Rattus norvegicus: one gene and its partner. The protein of the gene in region 2 interacts with the protein of the main gene of each other region in a pairwise test. Links are inferred from orthologs where the notes say so. Each region holds a gene or a part of one and is shown on either strand. Other genes may lie near its edges.

Region 1 (5,393 bases), on a different chromosome or scaffold from region 2:
GTCAGGGAAGCCTGGAGCTCGCATGGTTGAAACAAGGGATGCCACAGGTGGCCCTGAGCCCCGATTACAGGTAACTACAAGCCCAGCTATCAGAACTTACCCCAGCTCAGCTGCCTGCATTTGTGTTAAGCACTCAACTGGCTAACTCAGCACATGCTAGATTTGAGTCCCAGAGTGCAGAAATGGGACTGTCGGAGCACAGGACAAGACTGTGCTTTTCACAGGTCTGCAGTAGACAAGGCTGATGAGTTGTATGGTCAAGTGGATGAACTGTTGCATCGGCTAACCCTGAAGAGCAACCAGCGAATCCGGGCCCTAGAGCTCCTCCAAGCACTGGAAGCCCAGGAGGGTGTGCTGTGCCAGGTAGAAGCTACTGCCTCCTGTCCTTGGTCTCAGCAGTCACTCCAACCATAGCAGCTGCCTTTGCATCCTTCTGCTTGTGTCCATCCAGATTGAAGTGTGGCTACAGGAGGTGGGCTGGCCAGGGCTGGAGGAACCAGGGGAGCCCTCACTGGACATGCTACTCCAGGCCCAGGGCCCTTTTCAAGAGCTGGACCTGGTTGCCCAGGTAGGTTTGGTTATTTACTTGTGCAGCGACTGGGCCAGGGGTCTAGGACTGTGGCTTGAGTGAAGGCAAACAATCTTCTCTCTCTTGGAGGTTACCTCAGCAGAGATCAGTTGTAATAAAGGGTTCATAGATGTCTTTGCACACACAGACAAGGACTCTGGAAAGAAGCAGCATGGAAGTATAATTTAGGGTCAATAAGGCAAAAAAGAATTAGGAAAACAGTATGTTCAGAACTTAATGTGGCAGAAAGTCAGGTGTGTGATGCATGCTGTTAGTCCCAGCACTCCAGAAGCAGAGGCAGGAGGATTGCTGTACCAGGACTACATGAGAGATGTATAGATGCCAGATCTGAGTCTGCGCTGATCACCAGCTGAGTCTAGTTTGTCTCTCCAGGAACAGGTCAAGCAAGGGGAGAAGTTACTGCAGCCATTAGTTGGCTGGGAGGCTGCTGAACTGGGGCCCACTGGAAAGCGCTTTCTGGCCCTGAGATCCCAGCTGATGGAATTTTCCAGAGCTTTGGCCCAGCGGCGCCAGCGGTTGGCAGATGCTGAGAAGCTGTTTCAGTTCTTTAAGCAGGTGGCTGAGGAGGTCCCTATCCTGGCTTTGCCCAAGCTCCACCCCTAACTCTGCTTGGCTTGCTCAAGTGTGATCTTGCTTTCAGTGTGATCCCAAGTTCAACTTCTGGGTTGTAGTCTGGGATCAATGTCCTCAGACCAGCCAGTGGGTGGGACAAGGGAGCATAACAGAAGGCACTTCAGGCTTGCTGGGGTCCTGCTTTTATGTCTGTGTGTGTGTGGCCTTGGTGTTGCAGGCCTCAACATGGACGGAGGAAGGGCAGCGGGTGCTGACAGAGCTGGAGCAGGAGACCCCGGAGGTTGTGCTGCAGCGACTGCAGCTGCACTGGAGCAAACACCCTGACTTGCCTCCTGCCCACTTCCGGAAAATGTGGGCTCTGGCTACAGGCCTAGGCTCAGAAGGCATTCGCCAGGAATGTCGCTGGGCCTGGGCACAGTGCCAGGACACCTGGCTGGCTCTGGATCAGAAGCGTGAGGCTGCACTAAAGCCACAATCAATGAATAGCACAGCTACTTTGTATGTCAGGCGGGCTCCTGCTATACCCACCATCCCTCCACTGAGGAAGTCCTACAGCTTTGATCAGAATCTGGGGAAGCATCTTGGAGATGCTTCCAATCGTGGCCACTGTGCAGCCACTGTTACTGACTGCCACAGACCTGAGGCCAGAGGAGGCATCCGGCCCAGGTCATCACCTTCTGTGCCTCTGTCAGGCAGTTCTGACTTCAGGAGCCCCAACAGGTATAGATGGAAGGCAGGGCAGGGAGGTCTGTGGATGGTCTTGGGTTCTGACTCCACCTACCTCATAGGCTACAGCTAGTATTGGCGGAGATGGTGGCCACAGAGCGTGAGTATGTCCGGGCCCTTGACTACACCATACAGAACTACTTCCCTGAGTTAGATCGGTCCGATGTGCCCCAGGGCCTCCGTGGCCAGCGTGCACACCTCTTTGGCAACCTTGAAAAGCTTCGGGATTTCCACTTCCATTTCTTCCTGCGTGAGCTAGAGGCTTGCACCCGGCACCCACCTCGAGTGGCTCATGCCTTCCTGCGCCACGTAAGTTCCATAGGCCAGACAAGCCCTAGAGATTTGGACACCTACTTAGTGTCAGGCTCCGTGCACAGAGTGCTGTGTCACACTGAGTGCTGTGGGGGCAAGCAAACCACTACTAGGTACAGCTGTGAATGAGACCCACAGAAATGTCTACCTCTTAGTGGATTTTACGTTCTGTAGGATAGATGTACAAATAAAAGAGATCATTCTAGATTACACTTAGGATGGAATTAAACAGGAATATTTTCTGTGAATTACATTTGGGGCTGGGTTCCCAGTTTAAAAGTGGGGATGTTTGAGTAGAGGCCAAAGGACGAGTAGAGAGTGAGTTGTGCCCCCAGAAGAGGCTTCATGGACATCATGAGAATGGCCAGGTATAGTGAACACTAAGTCGAGGTCCCAGAACCCTGGGAGGGGCAGAGCTGAATGTGGAGGCTGGCTGTGCAGCCTGACAACTCTGACACAGCATTGCTTCGTGCTGGCTCATCCTCATTCAAAGTGGGATCTGCAGGAGTAGGGCAGATCAGCATTGGCATCTTAAGCTAAGAGGTGGGGGTTTTTCTGGAAATCAGTCTCCTGGCACCTGGGCTGAGTTGTGTATCCTTCCAGAGGGTGCAGTTTGGAATGTATGCACTCTACAGCAAGAATAAACCTCGGTCTGATGCCCTGATGAGCAACTATGGCCACACCTTCTTCAAGGTAGGAGCCTGAGACTGTAGGAAGAGTGAGGCTTGGTGGGCATCCCCCAAAACCACTTTTTTCCCTCCCCCCAAAACCACTTTTATCTCCTCACTGATCGCAGGAGAAGCAGCAGGCACTGGGAGACCACCTGGACTTGGCTTCCTACCTGCTAAAGCCCATCCAGCGCATGAGCAAGTATGCCTTACTGCTGCAGGAGCTGGCGAGGGCCTGTGGGGGTCCAGCACAAGAGCTGGGTGCCCTTCAGGCAGCCCAGAGCCTTGTGCATTTCCAGCTGAGACATGGCAATGACCTGCTAGCCATGGATGCCATTCAGGGCTGTGACGTGAGTCACCTGGGCCATGTGGGGAAGCACCGTGGATTTAGAAGGGCGTGGGACAGCTGGCCATCTAAGGGCTTCAACTTTGCAGGTTAACCTCAAGGAGCAGGGGCAGTTGGTACGACAGGATGAGTTCACAGTGCGGGCTGGGCACCACAAGTCCTGTCGTCGCGTTTTCCTGTTTGAGGAGCTGCTGCTCTTCAGCAAACCTCGACGTGGGCCTGCAGGTGTTGACATATTCACCTACAAGCGTTCCTTCAAAGTAAGTCTCCATGACTCTGACCTCTGCCTCCAGCCCCACCCCCCATGCCTCACCACACTCCTTTCTACTGGCCATGTAGATGGCAGACCTCGGCCTCACGGAGTGCTGTGGGGAAAGTAAACTGCGCTTCGAGATCTGGTTCCGACGTCGCAAGGCCAGGGACCTGTTTGTGCTTCAGGCTTCCGATGTGGCCACCAAACAAGCCTGGACAGCTGATATCTCCCGTCTCCTCTGGAGGCAGGCTGTACACAACAAGGGTGAGTCCTTATACAAAGCCCCAAAATACATGTCTTCCCAGGAGCCTGAGAAGGGTTTAAGGGCCTCACATACTCCCTAGAGTGCATCCTGCCAGAGACTGGGTTGGATTAGCTTGGGAAGAATGGAGGTGCAGCAGCAGAAGACAGTGCAGGGGAAGAACATAACTTTTCCTCTCAATACCAGAGCTCTTATGCCCTAAAAGGGACATCGTGATACCTTTCTGTGGGGTACTTAGAGGGAGAGGATTCTGGCACCAGAAAGGATCACAGTATAGAGTGGTTAATTTCTGGGTTATGTGTATATAGGAAAAACTCATTAGGTACATACATCTCAGGGAGCCTCACTTATGCCTTATTTTTTATTTACTCAGAGGTGCGCATGGCTGAGATGGCATCCATGGGTGTGGGGAACAAAGCCTTCTGGGACATTGCCCCCAGTGAGGAGGCTATCAATGACCGCAACATCAACTATGTGCTGAAAAGACGAGGTAGTAGGCATCCTACAGAGGGTGGGAGTGAGGAGGCAACAGTCTGGCCTGTGCTCCCTGGCTGCCTCAGGCCAGACTGGGCTCTGATCTGTCCCTCTTTCTTATACAGATGTTCGCTCTAGGGCCTCCATTGCTGTGGCCCCATTTGACTATGACAACCCTTATCTGGGTGCCTTGGCCTCCCTACCTGGAGACCGTGCCTCTTGCTCTGTTCTGGGGTCTCTCAATCTGCACCTGTACAGAGATCCAGCTCTTCTGGGTGTTCACTGGTCCTTGCTTCCACCCAACTTCCCAGAAGAAGCATCACTAGATACTGAGGTGGACTTGGGCAGCCAGCCTTCTTTGAGTATGTGTGGGCTTACTCAGGCGGGAGGCATGGCTTAGGTCTGGGTCTCCCCTGCTAACAGTTCACCCACTTTCCCTCCTTAGCTCCTGAGGACTCAGAGGTCTCATCCCAGTGCCCATCAGCCAGTGGCTCTAGTGGTTCTGACAGCAGCTGTGTGTCGGGGCAGACCATGGGCAGAGGCCTTGAAGACTTGTCCTGTGTGAGTACCATCTTTTGCCTTATGCCCACCAGCCCTTCCCTAACCTACCCTGGGCTATAGCTGCTTTTTCTTTAGGGGAGTTGGAAATGGGTGGGTTGGAGCTGTTCCCTAGAGGATTCCATGTCCACCCCTAGAACCAGAAAGGAGGGAGGTAAAACATTGACTTTGCTTGACTTGGCACCCTAGGTTTGAGTCTGGCTTGAAGATGAACATCACTCAGTAACTCCATGGAATTCCACACCTCTGAGTCTGCCCTAACCAGAGCATGGCTGGCTCCTGGGCCATCTCATCCCCCACCACTCATACCTAATAGGAATATCCTTGTTGATTACCTTTCTGATGTCTGTAGCTATCAACCAACTGCCCTAGGGCTTCTCCAAGGGCATCTGGCTGCAAAGACTGGATAAGCACCTTGATCTGAAGCTCCCAGGACTTTCTGTCCCCTCTCCAGCTACCACCCCAATTGTAAGTTAAGGATATGATGGGGCAGAAGGGGAGTATTTCCAAACTCCAGACTGGTAGAGTATTATAGAGCTCTCAGAAGTCATGAAGGATACAAGTGGATTCTCAGCAGCTGCTCCTCAACCCTTGAATAATGCTAATTTCTCCAAACCCAGGGACTAGCCTGC
Region 2 (4,169 bases):
CACCAAAAAAAATTTAGCAGTAAAAATAACTAGAAATGTTTCATAGATCTTAAGATGAAGAGTGGGGCAGCATAAATTAGACTCAGTGGGTCATAAAAAAGAGTAAGACTTGGGAGGTGGACATGCTGAGGGGCAGAGGAGGGAAATAGGGATGAGTATGGTCAAAATATAAAATATTTTGCATAGATGTGTGAAAATCTGAAATAAAACAATCTGTAAAACATTTCAAGTGCAAAAATATTCCTAAGAAAACAAATCTTTTGTAAAGATTTGTAAACTTTGTAAACTTGGGGATTTAGTCTTGATGGGCTTACATGGATTACTGGTGCAGGGAATGTGTTTACTAAGCACAGGTACTGTCTCAATATGAAAATATCTTGAATTTAAACAAGTGTTTAACAGAATAGAAGGCAATTTTGGGTCTTGAACAAATTACTGTTTAAAAAATACTCCTTTCAAATACTCAGTTACCAATCTCTTATGTCCTTGCCTTGTCTAAAACTTACAAATTCAAACTAATTGTGTTTTTAATTTTTATTATTATTGTGTGCATTTATGTGTACACATGCATGTGGCAAGAGTGTGAAGATCAGAAGACAGATTTTGTTTTTGTTTTTTCAAGACAGGCTGTGTAGACGAGTCTGGCCTCACACTCAGAGAGTTTGCCTCTGCCTCCTGAGCAGATTCTCTCCTTCCACCTTGGGTTCTGGGGGACCCAACTAAGGCAGTCGGGCCTGTCTGACAAGTGTTATTATCCACTGTACCATCTCACCAGCCCAGACTAGTTCAATAAAAAAAGGGGAAAAAAAATACAAATTGGTACACATGTAAACTTTTTAAATATAGGCTTTAAAAAACACAATAGTAGATAAGTACTCTCCAATTTTATATTCCTAGATGTCACATGAAGCATAACAAATTATTTGGGACGATTCAAGCTCCACACCTACAAACTACAGAAAGCCTATTTGAATCCACCACGCCAGTGTTTAACAAACAATACTGTTTTCTATACAAACGAGCAATAATGGGAAAAGTCTTGTTCAAATACGAGCCACCCTTACAGGGATGTGCTACACACTGGATCTCATTTGTTTTGCAATGTTGAAGAATACTTCAACACTAGTGTATACTATAATCAAAGGACACACAATTCTAGTGATCTAAAAGTATTACTCAAGTTTTTAGGGTTAAAAATTAAAATCAAGGGGCTGGGGATTTAGCTCAGTGGTAGAGCGCTTACCTAGGAAGTGCAAGGCCCTGGGTTCAGTCCCCAGCTCCGAAAAAAAGAACCAAAAAAAAAAAAAAAAAAAATTAAAAACAAGGGTAGCAATTTAAGTAGCTCATGCCTGTAATCCCAGCTCTTGAGAGGCAGAGACTAGAGGGAAGGTCCCTCTAAATTCAAGGTTAACCACCACTACCTATGGAGACCCTGTCTCAAGATAAAAAATCCAAAAGCCATTCTTCATGGTAAAACTAAAGCATGCAACTTTGAAGCTGCAATCCTAACAAAGACAAATCAGGTGTATAACTAAATTCTCTTTTCAGCTCACTCTTCAAACCATGCACTGAATTTGGGTTCTTTACATCAGCTAAGTCACAACTAGTGTGGCAAAGAACTGCTCCTTAAAATTCACCCGAGTACAGCCAAGGGGCCCTTTGAAGTTCATACCTACACAAGTGACTGCAGACAGTGTGTATTCCCTGACCAAAAATACCCTAAACCTAAGATTTTGAACCTTCCGTATTTCAGGTGCATCTCAGGCAGTCTGGAGACAGACAACAGGATTTCAACAAAAAACAAAAAACAAAAAACAAAAACAAAAACAAAAAAAAAAGCCACCTTACACCTTACTCTGAACTGATGTGCTGGGTGGAGTGACCCACTAAGGCCACAAGATGCTGTCTTAATTTGGTGAGCCCTGACTTGTAGGAGTTAAAACTTTCACCCCTTATGCTGCGATGACGTAATCTTCCACACTGAATATCTCCCGGAGTTAAAGGGGTGGAAAGAGGAATTTAAAAATATATAATAATAATAGTAGCAGTCAACAAAGAAATTTTCCTGCTAGTAATGAGGAACTGAGTAAGTGGCCAGGCGGGGTTTCGGGAGGTACTTAGGCAGGTCCCGGAAGGCAAAGAGGCTGGCCCCGTCAGGAGAGCCCCCGGAGCCGCGGGGCAGGAGAGGACGCGGCGCGGGACAGGAGATCGCCGAGGGGCGCAGGCGCAGAGCCGCCCGGTCCGTCACCTCGGCCCCGGCCCGGCCCTGCGGCCGCAGTTCCGCTCCCCTCCCCCGCCAGCCGCAACGCGTCCGCGGCGGAGCCCGGGAAGCAGGAAGTCGAGGCCCACAGCGCAGAGACAGCCCCCGGCCTCCGACCCCGGTCCTGACCATACGTCCCCCCACCCCGCGCCCCGGGGCCTCTAGAGCCCGCGGGCAGCCGGAGGGGGAGGGGAACGTGTGGGATGGGTGTGCCCGGTCCTCTCGCCGCCGCTGACAGCTCGGCCGGGCTGTGCCCTCAGCCGCCGCCATCCCGGGCCGCGCCTCGCCGCCATTCCGGCCCCAAACCTGGCCGCGACCCCGCCTCGTTCCCCTCAGAACCCGGGCCGGCGGGCGCACGCGAACCCGGCAATCCCTCCCTCGCGGCCCGCCGCCCGCAAGCACCGGGATGTCCCCGCCCGCGAGCGTCCACGAGAACCGAGGGAGGACGGGGGACATGGGAAGGGGACCGGGCGGCGCAGAAGACGCTCCCGCAGGGAGGCTACTCGGGCCCCGCACTCACCTCAGCTTCTCCGCCGGGGCGTTGGCAGCACTGCGCGGGGCCTCCTCGGCTGCCGGACAGGGGCACGCGCCTGACGTCAGCACGCAGGGGACGCATGGTTGGGTGCCCGCGGAAGTGGGAGGGACAAAGAGAAAGAAGGGGCTCAGGCGGCCCGGGCTCCGCCCCTTGGCGCGCACGCGCGGGCTACGTTCTTTGCGTGTTCGGGTTTGCTCTCTGCGCCTTTTAACGGTGATTTTATTCGTAATAAAACTATGAACAGAAAATGTGCACAGTTTGTAACTAAAGTTTACTTCTATTCTTGCAACTTTGTAGAGAAAATGTTGTAAATATATTTGTTGTAAACAAATATTTTTGTTTATTTTATTTAGACAGGGTGTCATTATGTAGCCTTTACTGCCCTAGAAATGGCTATGTAGACCAGGTTGTCCCAGAACACACAGCGATCCTACTACCTCTGCTCCCTGAGTTCTGATAATCCCAAGAAATGTACCACAACGCTCAAGCTGTCTCTTTTTCTTTTTGTTTTGTTTTTCGAGCCCAGGCTAGCCTGGAACTCAGAGATCCCCTTGCGTCTGCTTCGTGAGTGCTAGGATTAAAGGTGTGCATCACCATACCCAGACTATCTTTATTGAGCAACTTGAGACAGGGTCTCATTTAGCCCAGCTGGCTTTGAACACAACTGGGTAACAGGTTGATCTTGAACTGCCGATCCTCTTTTTTTTTTTTTTTTTTTTGGTTCTTTTTTTCCGGAGCTGGGGACCGAACCCAGGGCCTTGCGCTTCCTAGGTAAGCGCTCTACCACTGAGCTAAATCCCCAGCCCCGAACTGCCGATCCTCTTGCCTCTACCTCCGAAGTACTGAGATTGCAGGCACGCACCTCCACGCCTTGCCTCTTTTGCTTCTCTGAGAAGTGACTTGCTGTGCACAGCTTTCTGAAGGCCACAGGCCTCTGAACAATCTGTTTTGAAGTGAGAGCTGGACATCACTCTGGGTTTTGTTTAGAACTACAGACTTTCCCCTCAAAAAGCCCTGCGTTTACTCTGCCTGAGTGCTCTCCCCTGACCCCTTTGGTGGGATCTAAACCTCTCGAATCCTTTTTCCTATCATCTCAGCGCCTGTTTAATGGCTGTCTTCTCTGGTGGTGTACAAGCTTCAAGCTTCTGGAGAATAGAGATCCTATCCTACTTGTTAGATGCCTCCCAACATTAGAGGAAACCTCATCGGAAGAATGTTCATTTGAGGACTGGAGATGGAGCCCAGTCCATAGAGGGCTAGCTTGCCTGGAGGCAGGAACTGATGCAGATGCCAAGGAGTAGTGCAAACACGAAGCCCTGTGTTTGCTGCTTGGTACCACTTTAATAAACCCAGCTCTGGGGTGAACAGCTATAA

What was found. The genes of interacting proteins can lie anywhere in the genome.
Region 1: the proteins of Cdc42 (region 2) and Plekhg4 interact in a two-hybrid assay, tested with the Homo sapiens proteins (2 studies listed by BioGRID and IntAct, with this or other methods). The link is inferred for Rattus norvegicus from reciprocal best matches to the Homo sapiens genes CDC42 and PLEKHG4.

The regions. Positions count from the first base shown.
Region 1 is NC_086037.1:50,164,254-50,169,646, forward strand, and holds part of Plekhg4 (puratrophin-1), read left to right. Parts: coding exon 1-70; intron 71-224; coding exon 225-363; intron 364-451; coding exon 452-568; intron 569-961; coding exon 962-1,144; intron 1,145-1,379; coding exon 1,380-1,882; intron 1,883-1,950; coding exon 1,951-2,197; intron 2,198-2,803; coding exon 2,804-2,893; intron 2,894-2,996; coding exon 2,997-3,218; intron 3,219-3,303; coding exon 3,304-3,474; intron 3,475-3,553; coding exon 3,554-3,731; intron 3,732-4,102; coding exon 4,103-4,219; intron 4,220-4,328; coding exon 4,329-4,565; intron 4,566-4,648; coding exon 4,649-4,764; intron 4,765-4,950; coding exon of another isoform or gene 4,951-4,956; exon of another isoform or gene 4,957-5,393. UniProt on the Homo sapiens protein: Possible role in intracellular signaling and cytoskeleton dynamics at the Golgi.
Region 2 is NC_086023.1:154,873,712-154,877,880, forward strand, and holds the start of Cdc42 (cell division control protein 42 homolog), read right to left. Parts: upstream 2,801-4,169; 5' UTR 2,781-2,800; intron 2,775-2,780; exon of another isoform or gene 2,663-2,774; intron 1,987-2,662; exon of another isoform or gene 1,849-1,986; intron 1,111-1,848; exon of another isoform or gene 1-1,110. UniProt on the Homo sapiens protein: Plasma membrane-associated small GTPase which cycles between an active GTP-bound and an inactive GDP-bound state. In active state binds to a variety of effector proteins to regulate cellular responses. Involved in epithelial cell polarization processes.